Arabidopsis thaliana: one gene and its partner. The protein of the gene in region 1 interacts with the protein of each later gene in a pairwise test. Each region holds a gene or a part of one and is shown on either strand. Other genes may lie near its edges.

Evidence for each region. Proteins that work in one complex are often made in the same cells at the same time.
Region 2: the proteins of GEM (region 1) and CDT1A interact in a two-hybrid assay, tested with the Arabidopsis thaliana proteins (one study listed by BioGRID).

Annotation. Positions count from the first base shown.
Region 1 is NC_003071.7:9,539,144-9,545,584, forward strand, and holds GEM (GRAM domain family protein), read left to right. Parts: upstream 1-1,984; 5' UTR 1,985-2,379; coding exon 2,380-2,716; intron 2,717-2,816; coding exon 2,817-2,918; intron 2,919-4,791; coding exon 4,792-5,063; coding exon of another isoform or gene 5,064-5,099; exon of another isoform or gene 5,100-5,446; coding exon 5,447-5,635; 3' UTR 5,636-5,895; downstream 5,896-6,441.
Region 2 is NC_003071.7:13,326,897-13,332,349, reverse strand, and holds CDT1A (CDT1-like protein A), read right to left. Parts: upstream 3,489-5,453; 5' UTR 3,314-3,488; coding exon 2,973-3,313; intron 2,894-2,972; coding exon 2,774-2,893; intron 2,446-2,773; coding exon 2,211-2,445; intron 2,127-2,210; coding exon 1,485-2,126; intron 1,359-1,484; coding exon 1,157-1,358; intron 1,063-1,156; coding exon 972-1,062; intron 891-971; coding exon 806-890; 3' UTR 519-805; downstream 1-518. UniProt on the Arabidopsis thaliana protein: Member of the pre-replication complex. Component of the plastid division machinery. Promotes polyloidization and regulates endoreduplication. Involved in the coordination of cell and plastid division.

The DNA of each region.
Region 1 (6,441 bases):
TGTTAATTCTGAGATCAGTTAAGTATTGACACGTGTTATGTTTATATTGGTTTTTAGATATGATTTGACTCTGCGTAATTTGCTTTTTGGTTAACCGCGTTACAATGCCAGGCGTAAATTAACTTGAGTTTTGCCTAATGTTTCGTGGAAATAACGCGTTTACGAGTAAATAATTAACATTATACGAAAAATGGGTCATTATTTAAGTTCATATTCATATATAGTATGTCTATCAAAATTTTCAACTGTTAATTATTTTAGATGTATATTATAATCGTTTCTGTTGAAAAAAGTTATTTTATATGTTTCGTTGTAATGTGTTATCTGGACTGATTATACGAGCAAGGGCTGGCAAAAGCTGTCATATTTTCATGTTAATTAAATTAATAAATTAGTAGATCATTATAGTTATATTTATGGTTTTTATTTTGTTGCAATATTCTAGTGACAGATTACTTGGTGGCCATTATTGTTACAAACTTACAACGAAACAGTCAAGCAAACGCGCATTGTTCATATTCTACAGCTATATCATTATTACGGTGTGAAATGCTTCATTTCAATAAGAACCTACCTAACAATTATTTATATTCCTTGAATAATAAATTGTTAGACTCTTGCTTTGACCTTAATATGCATTGTATCAGTATCTTCTTCATAAGAAAATTATAAGTTGAAAACTTTTTTCCTGCCAGCTTTGACCAAATGAATATATTAAAAAGTTACCAATAAAGAAATTTTAATTAATTTGATTAGTAGTACAAGTTTGGACGAGGCCTTGGCAGGCCTCTCTTTCTAGCTTTTCGTGGATGTGGCCTAACCTCGTAACTTTTCGTATTTTATCAAGCCCAAAGTAGCTTTCCGTTATCACTTATATGAAAAAATCTAAGATCTAAGGGGAGTTATTGATTAGTATTTTAATTTATAATCTATATACATTAAAGAAAATAGAACATCTTGAAACCTCTAAATAAATACACCGTGCTTAAAAAACTTCACGAGATATTCAATTGATTTTTTTTTGTTTAGAATATTAAATAATCAATACTCCATTAGATGTCATTTACCCAAAAAAAAAAAAAAAAAACTCCATTAGATGTTATTATTGTAGATTGTACCAATAAACTCTGATATATAAGTCCAACAAAACTCCATTAGCAGTAGTGTTGGTAAGCTCCCCATATTCTTGGGCTTTAGTTTCAGAAGATTTCATGTTATCCGTCGGCTTAGTTTATGGAATTATCTTGTTAATCGCCACTTTTATATAATTTCATATATAATCTATCTTTTAGTGCAAAAAAAGTAAAAAAAATAATTTCAACGAAACTCAAGTTTGGAACCGCAATCCAATTATTTTAATCAAATCATTGACTACCGAAATATTTTTCCACCTTCAAACAATCTAAAAAGAAAAATAATTTTTTTGATCAATTCACCAACGTTATTTAGTTTATAAAACATGATAAAAGATCCTCCAAAAATATAAAACCTAGACTTTCCTTAAATTTTAAGAAGTGTACTTTTGTTCACTCAATTTATTATTTCTCTGCCAAATTCTCTATATTCTTCACACGTAATTACTATCTAGTTCTCGTCCATTTCCTTTATCATTTTCTCATTGTCTTGTAAATTGACCACTCTAATGATCTCTATTATTTCCTCTAGAATAGAGTATGATTTATCTCCAATCTATCACTCTATATATAGAGTAATCCTACAATTTTCTCTATTTTAAAGTAACATATAGAATGAGGATGGAGAGAATGTACTATATCATAGAGTTTTAGAGGACAAAATTAAAGTGGGATTGGAGATGCTAAGTATGTAAATTTGGTTCGGTTAGCTATCATAAGGGACCGAGTGCTATATGACAATGTATTATAGGTAAAAGAAGTGATATTGTCTCCTGTAGATTTAGTGTCCTTAACCGTTCATCAAATCTATGTGAATCTCAGTAGTAGGTAGTTGGGTGAAGAACGTGTGAAGTCTATACAACTCATATTACTCCTCAAACATTTTCTGATAATATATTGCATACATTGAACCTCTTTTTAAATTCAAAACATCAAAGGTATTGATCTTACATAGAAAAAAACATAGACTCTTATGTTCATGTCCCTATTGATCTTAGTCATACCTCATAATTGTCTAACAAAGAAAATCAAAGGTATCATAATTATCATCATATGTAATGTAGGGAACAAATCTGTATTTACTGGTATATATATATAACACAAAAAAAATTACCAAAGAAAAAAAAAGAGCAAAGGGAACGATACCATTAGTCCCAATACCAATCCTTGCAAAATTCAAACTCAAACAAACCGTTTATCTCACGCGCCGCCGTACTCGCCACGATCCGTCTTTGGAGACCAATTTATGGAGCCGCCGAAGGGAGATACCGTAGTGAAGACTGAGGTCCCGGTGAAGGATCCATCGCTAAGCGTCGTCGATTCGAAAACGAAGGGAGTCGAGGATGCGAACACTGAGATAGCCTTGTCCGATGAGGTTGAAATCGAGACGAAGGGAAGCGATTCGACACCGGTGAAAGCTCCGAGTCGAACATCGTCTGGATCGAAGAAATCTGTACATTGGAGCCCCGAATTGGTGTCTGGATCTCAGGAACCGGATCAGAAAGCTGCATCGTCTTCTTCGGCTGGATCTAATCCGTATATTGCTCGTTCTCCAGCTGAGACTTCAGATGCTTCGTTGAAAGGTAAGAGTGTTGTGATCGTAGCGGTGAGAATTGAGATTGTGTATTGTAGCCTTATTTACCTTTTTGTGGATCTCTCTCTGTGTCTGTGAATTGGATTCAGATACGATGGAGACTGTGAAAGGAGTGCTTGGTAGATGGGGAAAGAGGGTTGCAGAAGCAGCAAAGAAGACGGAGAGCCTTGCCGGGAACACATGGCAACACCGTAAGTTTTCGTTTTTTTTTAATATCAATTTGTAATCAAATTCAATGCTTAGAGTTCTGTGGAATCAAGAATTGTTCATAGGGTATTGTTAAAAGTAGCTTGTTCTACTCAAAGTCTACATTTTTTTAGAGAAACATAAAAGATTTTTTTTGCTGTATTATGGTTTTCTTCCTTTGTTGTATGTTGGTGTTTAGGTTAGTACTGGTTTTAGGATTGAGTAACTATCATCATATTCGATAGTGCTCAAGTGTATTTTTATGATCTTCAATTCTTTGATCTCTTTTCAACATGTTGTTGCTATAAAATGGGACGTTCTTACTGGCTTGTGTTGATAAATTTTCTTAATTACAAACAGAACACTCCCCTGAATTTCAGTCTTTAGGCAGTACATTAAAAGACAATGACCTTTGATCTTGTTGAGTTCTTGCTAAGAATAGTAAACGGACTATTTTAGTTATGGAATCATATTGTGTTGGAAGAAATATCTCGGTTTTTCTCAGGTTTATCTTCATAAATAGTTTAGAATCACAATTGTTCTACGTGGATCTCTTGCCTTCGATTTGTCTCCAGAACCAAGATTAATACCACATCTGCTCGGTATTAGAGGATGATCTTTTGATATTGTCAAGTTTGTGATCACAGTAATTAAAAAATCTCTGTCTTGGATTTGAACAAGAAGATTCTCCCAGTTTCAGTCTGTCAAACTTTGTAGCTTGACCCATGACAAGTGTTTATAAGAGAGTCGGAATAACCTTAAAGCTGTTTTTTCTCTGTGTGATGTTTGCAGTCAAGTTTTTAGTAGATTGTCTGGTAACAAATAAAATATCAGATTGAAATTAGGTGCTCTGGATTAGGTATTAGTTGCCATGTTACTTCTTTGGAACTTGGAATTTTAATGCCTTTGGTGAACATTAATCAAAAACGCCATTTGACGAATTAAGAGCTGGATATTAGTTTGACCTTCGGACATGGTCATTCGTGATGTAGTCTAAGTAGTAGGGAATTAGCTCCTAGTTTTGAGATCAAAAAGCCTTTTTGCGGACTGAAGAATTACCACTCTAATCAAGTGATGTTCTTGGTGGTTTGGTGAATGTTTGAGCAATGGAGGTGGAGGGAAAATGTCTGATGACTAGCTAAAACTATAGAAATTGGGGAATTAAGAAAGTTTACACGATTAAATTTATGTTTAGAGTGTTCATGTGTGAACTCTATAACTCATGTCTTCCTTGATTGGGTGTGTTTTAGTTGTCCGCTTCTCTAGCATATTCTATTCAGGATTCGTTTGAGTGATCTCTCTTACAATCTTCTACTTTAGTCAGTGAGAACTGCTCCAGTTTTTTTGTATTTCATATCATGTTTGAATCGATCTTCTATGTTTAGCATTGTTGGAATGGATGTTTGCGCTCAAATATAGTAGATCTTTTGTTAAAGAAGTGAAATATTGAATAGATGCTCCGGAACAGATAGAGTTGCTATATTGCTTTTAGGAACTTGGATTAGATAATACATTTGGATGAACATTAAAAAAAAAAGAAGAAACAGCCTTTGGTGAGTTAGGAGCTAGAACTGTGGATATGAGTTTCAGCTTGGGACATGGTCGTGTTATGGATAGAGATGAGTTCCTGGGTAAGTGTTTGAGTAATGGAGTTTGAGGGAAAATGTCTAATGCCTGCATTTACATAGTATGGACGTAAAGTTTGAATTTGGGTGACTGAGAAAAATAACATGATTCAATATACGTTTCAATTGTTTGTGTGTGAACTCGCAATTCATCTCTTCCTTGATTGGATGTGCTTTACTTGTTTGATTCGCTAGCATTTTCATTCAAGATCTATCTGATTGATATATCTTATAATCTTCTCTTTTTAATCAGTGAGAACTGCTCCGAGTTTTGCGGATGCTGCAATGGGAAGAATTGCACAGAGTACAAAGGTCTTTGCAGAAGGAGGATATGAGAAGATATTCCGACAAACCTTTGAGACAGATCCCGAAGAACAGTTGCTAAATTCTTTTGCATGTTACTTGTCAACATCAGCTGGCCCAGTTATGGGAGTTCTATATATATCCAGTGCCAAACTTGCTTACTGTAGTGACAACCCTCTCTCCTATAAAAACGGTGATCAAACCGAATGGAGCTATTACAAGGTAATGTGTCCTACACCTTTCATTTCAGAATTATAGCCATTTTGAAGACACCATATTATTACTTTTGTGATCATTAACTGTTCGAAATCTGTTGGCTGGTTATCTGGTCAATGCTTGAGACAATGTTTCGTTATAATTTGTTAGTAGCATCAACTAAGGAGCCTTCGTAGAGTGATTCATTTGGATAGAAAAATAATCTGGACTTGTTAACGGAATCATAAATCCATGGACTTTTTTTTTGTGATAGTAATAACATGATTGCATCAGCTTCTCATCTCTTGTTTCATCGAAACCAATCCGATACGATTGCATTTGCTTATTCATTGTAATAAGCTTTGCTACATTGATGATTGATGAACACTTTGTGTCTTCTTCTTAAATAGGTAGTAATTCCATTACATCAACTTAAAGCAGTGAATCCATCAGCGAGCATAGTCAATCCTGCAGAGAAGTACATACAGGTGATTTCGGTAGACAATCATGAGTTTTGGTTCATGGGTTTTTTAAACTACGACGGCGCTGTCACGTCTCTGCAAGATTCTTTGCAAGCCGGTGCTTTAAGGTCGGTGTGATACATAACTGGATGACTGATGACCATAAAAGCATGTTGATCTCCACCTCTTCTTGCTTAGTCATATCAGAAGACTCAAATTTTTACATTATTTTGCATTTAATCTCAATATCCTATTTACTACAGAAACTAGCTGAATTTTACAAATTTACTTTAAAATGTTTTATCTTTTGATATTTTTATGAGAAGACAGCTTAATTGCAATTTATTCAATAGCAGTTGCTTTTAGTTTCTATGTTGAAGAACTCTGAGGTAGTAGGATCAACAAATGTGAATTCAACACGTCCCAGGGACAACGGACTATTAGAACCGATTCAAATTGCTTCCACCAGTGACAACTGAAAAATATACCGAACCAGTAGATCTAAGAAACGAAATTTACTCGCACCCATGTACGAAATTGCCGCACAACTTTTGATATTTACTAATTTGCCCCAATAAAGTTCAAAATACACAACTCCTTTGACTTCTGCAAAGCATCAGCTCGAAAAGTATTTTTTTTTTTGTGTTAAAGGGTTTATCAGCTCGAAAAGTATTTCATTATCTTTTCATCGAATCAGATTCAACTTACGAATTATAAGAGCATCTGATTAGGATTTATTCCAAAGATCACTAACTAAATTCGAAATTTATTCACAGAAGTTCTAGTCACTAATTTTGTTGAAGACGATTTTTACATATTTAGAGGCGTGATAAATATTACAGACAAAAAATGAAGTTAGATTTTGTTTCGTACTTCTTCGTTAATCTAAAGAGCCAAAGTACTGTGATCTAACACTGTCGTTGTGTTTTTTTTGTTTTGTAAAT
Region 2 (5,453 bases), 3.8 Mb from region 1:
GATGAAGGGTTTAGTATTTATTTTAGGTTATTTGGCGCGAATCCGACTTGTGATGGTGCCACGTGGACTCCCGCCGAATTCCGTCCGTTAATACTTCGCGCGATTTTCTTTGTGAAAGCCCAGTAGGCCCAAATGATGCTCTCAGAAACACACCTCTCTCTCTTTTTTCATTCTGTCTTTTTCTCTTGTGCAAATAAACCAATATATTTTTAAGCTGTGAAATTGAATATTATTGAACATTGGGTTCACAATATACCAGAAATTTTCTTCTAATTCACGGAACCGAAGTCCCAAATGGCCAATGACCCTTTGGAACTTCGGTAGAGGAACTAAGAGGAGTATTAAAGTGGCTTGAGAAATTAAACTTAGATCCAAAGGAACTGGTTATTTGCCTAACATATATGAAAATGTCTAACGGATTTAATCAAATATAAAGGGACATAATCAGAAAGAGAATTGTCATCAAGGATTTAGATATGTCATGGTTGGGAGATTAAATCTGATCTCTTTCCATACTTCACACAACAACGGTCCTTATAGTCTTGTTCTATAAAGAATTCTGTTACAAAATGCATAAAATTACTCTTTATTGATAGAGAAATAACCTCATTGTCATAATTCAGAAAAAGATGAAAACACCTTCCTAAATAGTTTGTCATCTACTTGTTTTCACCCTTTTACTTTACTTAGGAACTTTATAACTTAGTAGTCTCTACACATCTGTCTCATGAATAGACTATAACATATTTGGCAGTCCAAAAATAAGTTAGAACCCAAAGTAACCGCAGCCGATGGAACCACGATCTCAAGAAAGCAGTGGAGCCATCTCTTGCTTGTTTTCTTCTTCAAGACGTGATCGGATTGTTAGAGGAGATGCCAACTTGTTTATGCTGCATATTAAAGTTGCTTACATGAGCGATCCATAAAACCAAGAAAAAGTGAGTTGAGTATATGTGAGATATTAGACTCACCATACTAGAACATCTCCACTTGATGATTTTTTCTCAGACATCCATTCAGGGACAATTTCTTGCAGTAAGATTAGTTGTTCTTCAACTTCCTCTGAAAAATGTAAGTGAGGCAAGAACAGTTAGGATGGTTTTCAAACAATGTAAAGAAAAGTAATAATGAGATACTTAGTGGTTAGAGGGCTTACTTCTGTCAGTAATATCAGAGTGACCGGCAATGATCTTGTGCACAAGCTCTTCTTTTGTGATAACCCAACGCCTTATCGATTGAATTAAGTAATGGATGACATTGAAAAGTTTAGGTAGACAAGCGATCATCTTTCGCCTTCTTTTTGCCAGAGAGATTGCTGGATTTTGATCCTCAATCGCTTTCCTCTCTTGTTCTTTTATCTGAAATGAGCAAAAAAACAATCTCAGTAAGTAAAGCCAATCTCAGTTTGTACTTCTTAATCTCAAACTGAAAAGTATAAAGCAAAATTACGAGAAGAAAAGGAATCACTAATAGAGATGTATTACCGCATGTCGAAGTTTATCAGGAAGTATGCTGAGTATTTCATCATCGCTGGATACATCTTCTTCTGGTACTTGATCAATGGGTATATCATCTGTGAAATCCATAGTTCTCTCATCCTCAGGATAAGAATCAAAGTTCAGAGACAAGGAACGCCTCACGAGCTTAGTCGGTGGGTCAGCAGAAATATCATCTGGATTTGTATGACCGTTGCTTCTTTTCAGCGGACGAGCTGCCAGAGAAGTACTCATCAGCCGGGCAGGAGTTGAAGCAAATTCAGGTGGAGTTGCAGTAATGACTGGTGTTGAGTCAATAATCGCCGGTGTTGAAGGAAACTTAGCCAGAGTTGACACTGGTTTGACTGGAGTTGGCAATATATTAATCTCAGACAAAGTCTGTTTAGCAGGAGTTGAAGTTGGTTTGGTTGGAGTTGGAGCAATGTTAATCTGAGACGAAGTTGGTTTAGCCAGACTTGAAGTTGTTTTGACTGGCGTTGATGTGATGGGAGATGAAAACAATTTAGATGCTGGAATAGAAGCCATCTCTTCCATGAGAGAACTAACACGCTTGACTTCAACATTTGAGTTTTCAACTGGTTTCCTTCTATTGAAGGGCTCAGGAAGCGGTTCCTCTGGAACTTCATCACCCTAAAACAGAGAATAACACCATTAGTACTTGAATAAAATCACAATGCAACTTCCAAAATCACTAAAATAGATAGGGCATTATACCTGAGGGTGAGCTTTAACAAAATCCGCAAGTCTAGCCCGAAACACTTTCCGAAGAGCGATTTTCTTACTTTCCGATTTCGACTTGTCGTTGTATTCAACAGCATCGGCATTGAGCGTAACATGAAGGTCCGGTTTCATACAGCAAGTAGTTTCATCATGTATCAATACTCTCTTAATCTCAATCGCTTCAGGCAATATATGCTTTATTTGAGCCAAGTGACTATAACAAAACCTCCTGAAATATACATCCACACAAGAATTATATAAACACACCAGAAACAGACTCGTGAATATCTAAAATCTAGAAAAGTTATCGGAGAAATCTATAAAACCCAGATCTAAAGTATTCTTTTGTCTCATCGAACCTATAAAGTATAAAAAGCAAAGATCAAAATGGTTTATTTATTCAGATCAGATCCCATAAACACGATCTAGATTATTAATTTGTCTTATCGACTCTATAAAGTTTAAAGGCAATAACCAAATTTGGCTTATTTATTCAGATCAGATCCAATCAGTGACAATCACAAACACGATTCAAATTGAAATGTCAGGAAGACTACCTCTCGGTTAAATGCTCGATTTGTTTAGAAATGTTGGAGAATGTTGGCTTAGAACCTCTTAATTTCGATAACAACATCGAATTATCCAATGCTTCAAAGAACTTTCCCAGATTCTCGTACCTGCACAAATCCAAATCCTAATCAGTTAAAAAGGGGAAAAAATTGAAACTTTTTATAAACCCTAGAGATTAAAACTTACTTCTCCGGAAGTTTCTCTTTCTCTGCATTTTTGTTAGAGCTTTTACGTTTTGAAGGAGAAGATGATGATGAATCGAAAAAGAGCCTGCTTTTGGCAGATGAAGCAACCGGATCTTCAGATCTGCGACGAGATCCAGCGGCTTGACGAATTTCTTTCACTGATAAAGCCACAGATCGGTTTCTCGATCTACTAAGCATGTTCTCAAGTGGTTTTTCCGGCGTAGGCAATGCTACAGAAGACGGATTTGGATTCCCGGTTTGAGATTTCGAAGACGGCGAATCCATCACCAATCGTTTCTTCGATTTGAATGGAATGGATCTAGAAGAGCCTGGTGTACTCATTTTTATCAACAATGTCTATAGAGTGTCAGATGCAGAGAGGAGATAGTGGAGGAGATAGATGAAGACGATGAAGACGACGGAAGAAGAAGAAGGGTTTAGATTTATTTAGGTCTTTGGCGCGCAATCCTACGTGTACCAAAGCCACGTATACCTCCCGCGCCTATTAACCCGTTGCTTCCCGCGAAAACACTTATCTACGAAGAAGCCCATTAATTAGGCCCATTATGAATTGCTGTCTCTGAACGAATCTAATAGATGCAAACCAAAGAGACCAGATTTCTTTTTTTCAACTTGTGATTTTTTTTATATGAACATGATTTATATAAGGTCGTCGTGCAATGTTTATGCTGCTTGTTCAGTATTTATAGTTTTTTTGAAAAATCAAAGATAATCTCATCATAAGGAATCTTATCAACAGTAAAATATTAAGATAAAACAGTTAGCCCAGCAAATCAAATATAATCAATGGTTTAGTTTATGTTTTCTATGTTTCTCTTTCTAAACTTTGAATATATTTACCACATCCTTATTTTAAATCATAGAATTAAACAGTTTTTAAATGATTATGATATTTTTTCTATTGTCATTTCTAATATTTTACTAACAAAACTTTAATTTTATTTGTCTATTAAATGTTATATTTTTCCGGTATTGTTATTTCTGTATATACTTGAACTTTTTCTTATTAAGGTTCGTCGTTTCCATTTTATTTTATATTATATTTGCTAATGAGGAAATCTATATAAAATCATGAAATAAATATTGATTATTAAAAGAAAACACATAAATATTAAACATTGAATATTACCACATCCCTATTCTAAATCAAAGAATTCAATAAATTTTCAATGATTATGAGATTCTTTTCAATTGTCATTACTACTATTTTCTTACTAACAAAACTTCAACTTTTCTTTTTATTAAATGTTATACTTTCCGATATTATTATTTCTCTATATACTCTTATTTAAATTTGTTGTTTTATGTCAATATATGAAGTTTTGATGATTATAATAATAAATACCAATTTTTATTTCTTTTATCGGTTTATCGTCTAGTTGACAAAAAAAAATATAATGCCGTTATAAAATAATTATAACTTTCATGAGTTTTTATTTTTGATTAACATTTAAAAAATTAAAGGAGCTAGATGTATCAATTTGTATTATATTATGCTCTGAGACTAAATATTGATCTTGATACCAAGAATCTGATCTAGATCCAAAATTTATGTCAACTGACTCACTATCATATTTTCAAAACTCAATTTTAAAGTTAGTAATATAATGTACATCTTAACTATTGTTTTTTTGGGTCTGTTTAGAATCTGGGCCGGTGCCCACTCAAAACAATCGGCCCATTATACAAGTTGTTAAAATAAAATTCAATATATCACATTAAAGAAAAATTACAATTTTTTGGCTTCAAGACTTTTTTTTTTGTGTGTGCAAAGACTTTTTTGGATTCAAGCTAATAAATGTTAGATTACCTTTTTAACCAAAGATCAAAGTAAAACCAAAATCATAGAAGAGGAAGAGAACTCGTGATCACGTTTCTTTGGTTAAGTAATGTTGTATAGAAGAGAAGAGAAGAGAAGAGGAAGAAGAAAAGCCCAAATCGAAAATTGAAAACTAGTACTCCAAACTCCAAAGCATCAATATTTTATCACTCCTCTTTTCTTCCACGCAAACCCAATTCTCTTCGTCTTCTTCTTTTGCTTTTCTCCCCTAAATTCGTCGATCAAATTCTTGTCTTTTCAACTTCTTCATCGAATTTTCCATTGCCCATAGCCTCTGTATTTGATTCCTCCTTCTCTAAAGCTTCGGATATTAAGACAATTATATCTTCCTAGCTGCTTATAGACCTTCGCTTTCTAATTGCTGTTCCTTTCGTGGGTCTCTGGTAAGTTTTGATTTTCTCATCTGCTGTTATCGAGAAAGGTTGATTTTTTTTGATTAATCGCACTGTGATTTAAGGTTGGAGGAGATTATAGTGTTAGCTTAAGGGTTTTTGAGGTTTCAATTTAGAATCGTATTGCTCCTGATCATTTCCCTGTTAAAAGTAGATAAACCCCTTGTTCTATTGGGAAGGAATTCGCCGTTTTTGCTTCGTCTTCTTGTGAAAAATAGAGTTGGTTTTA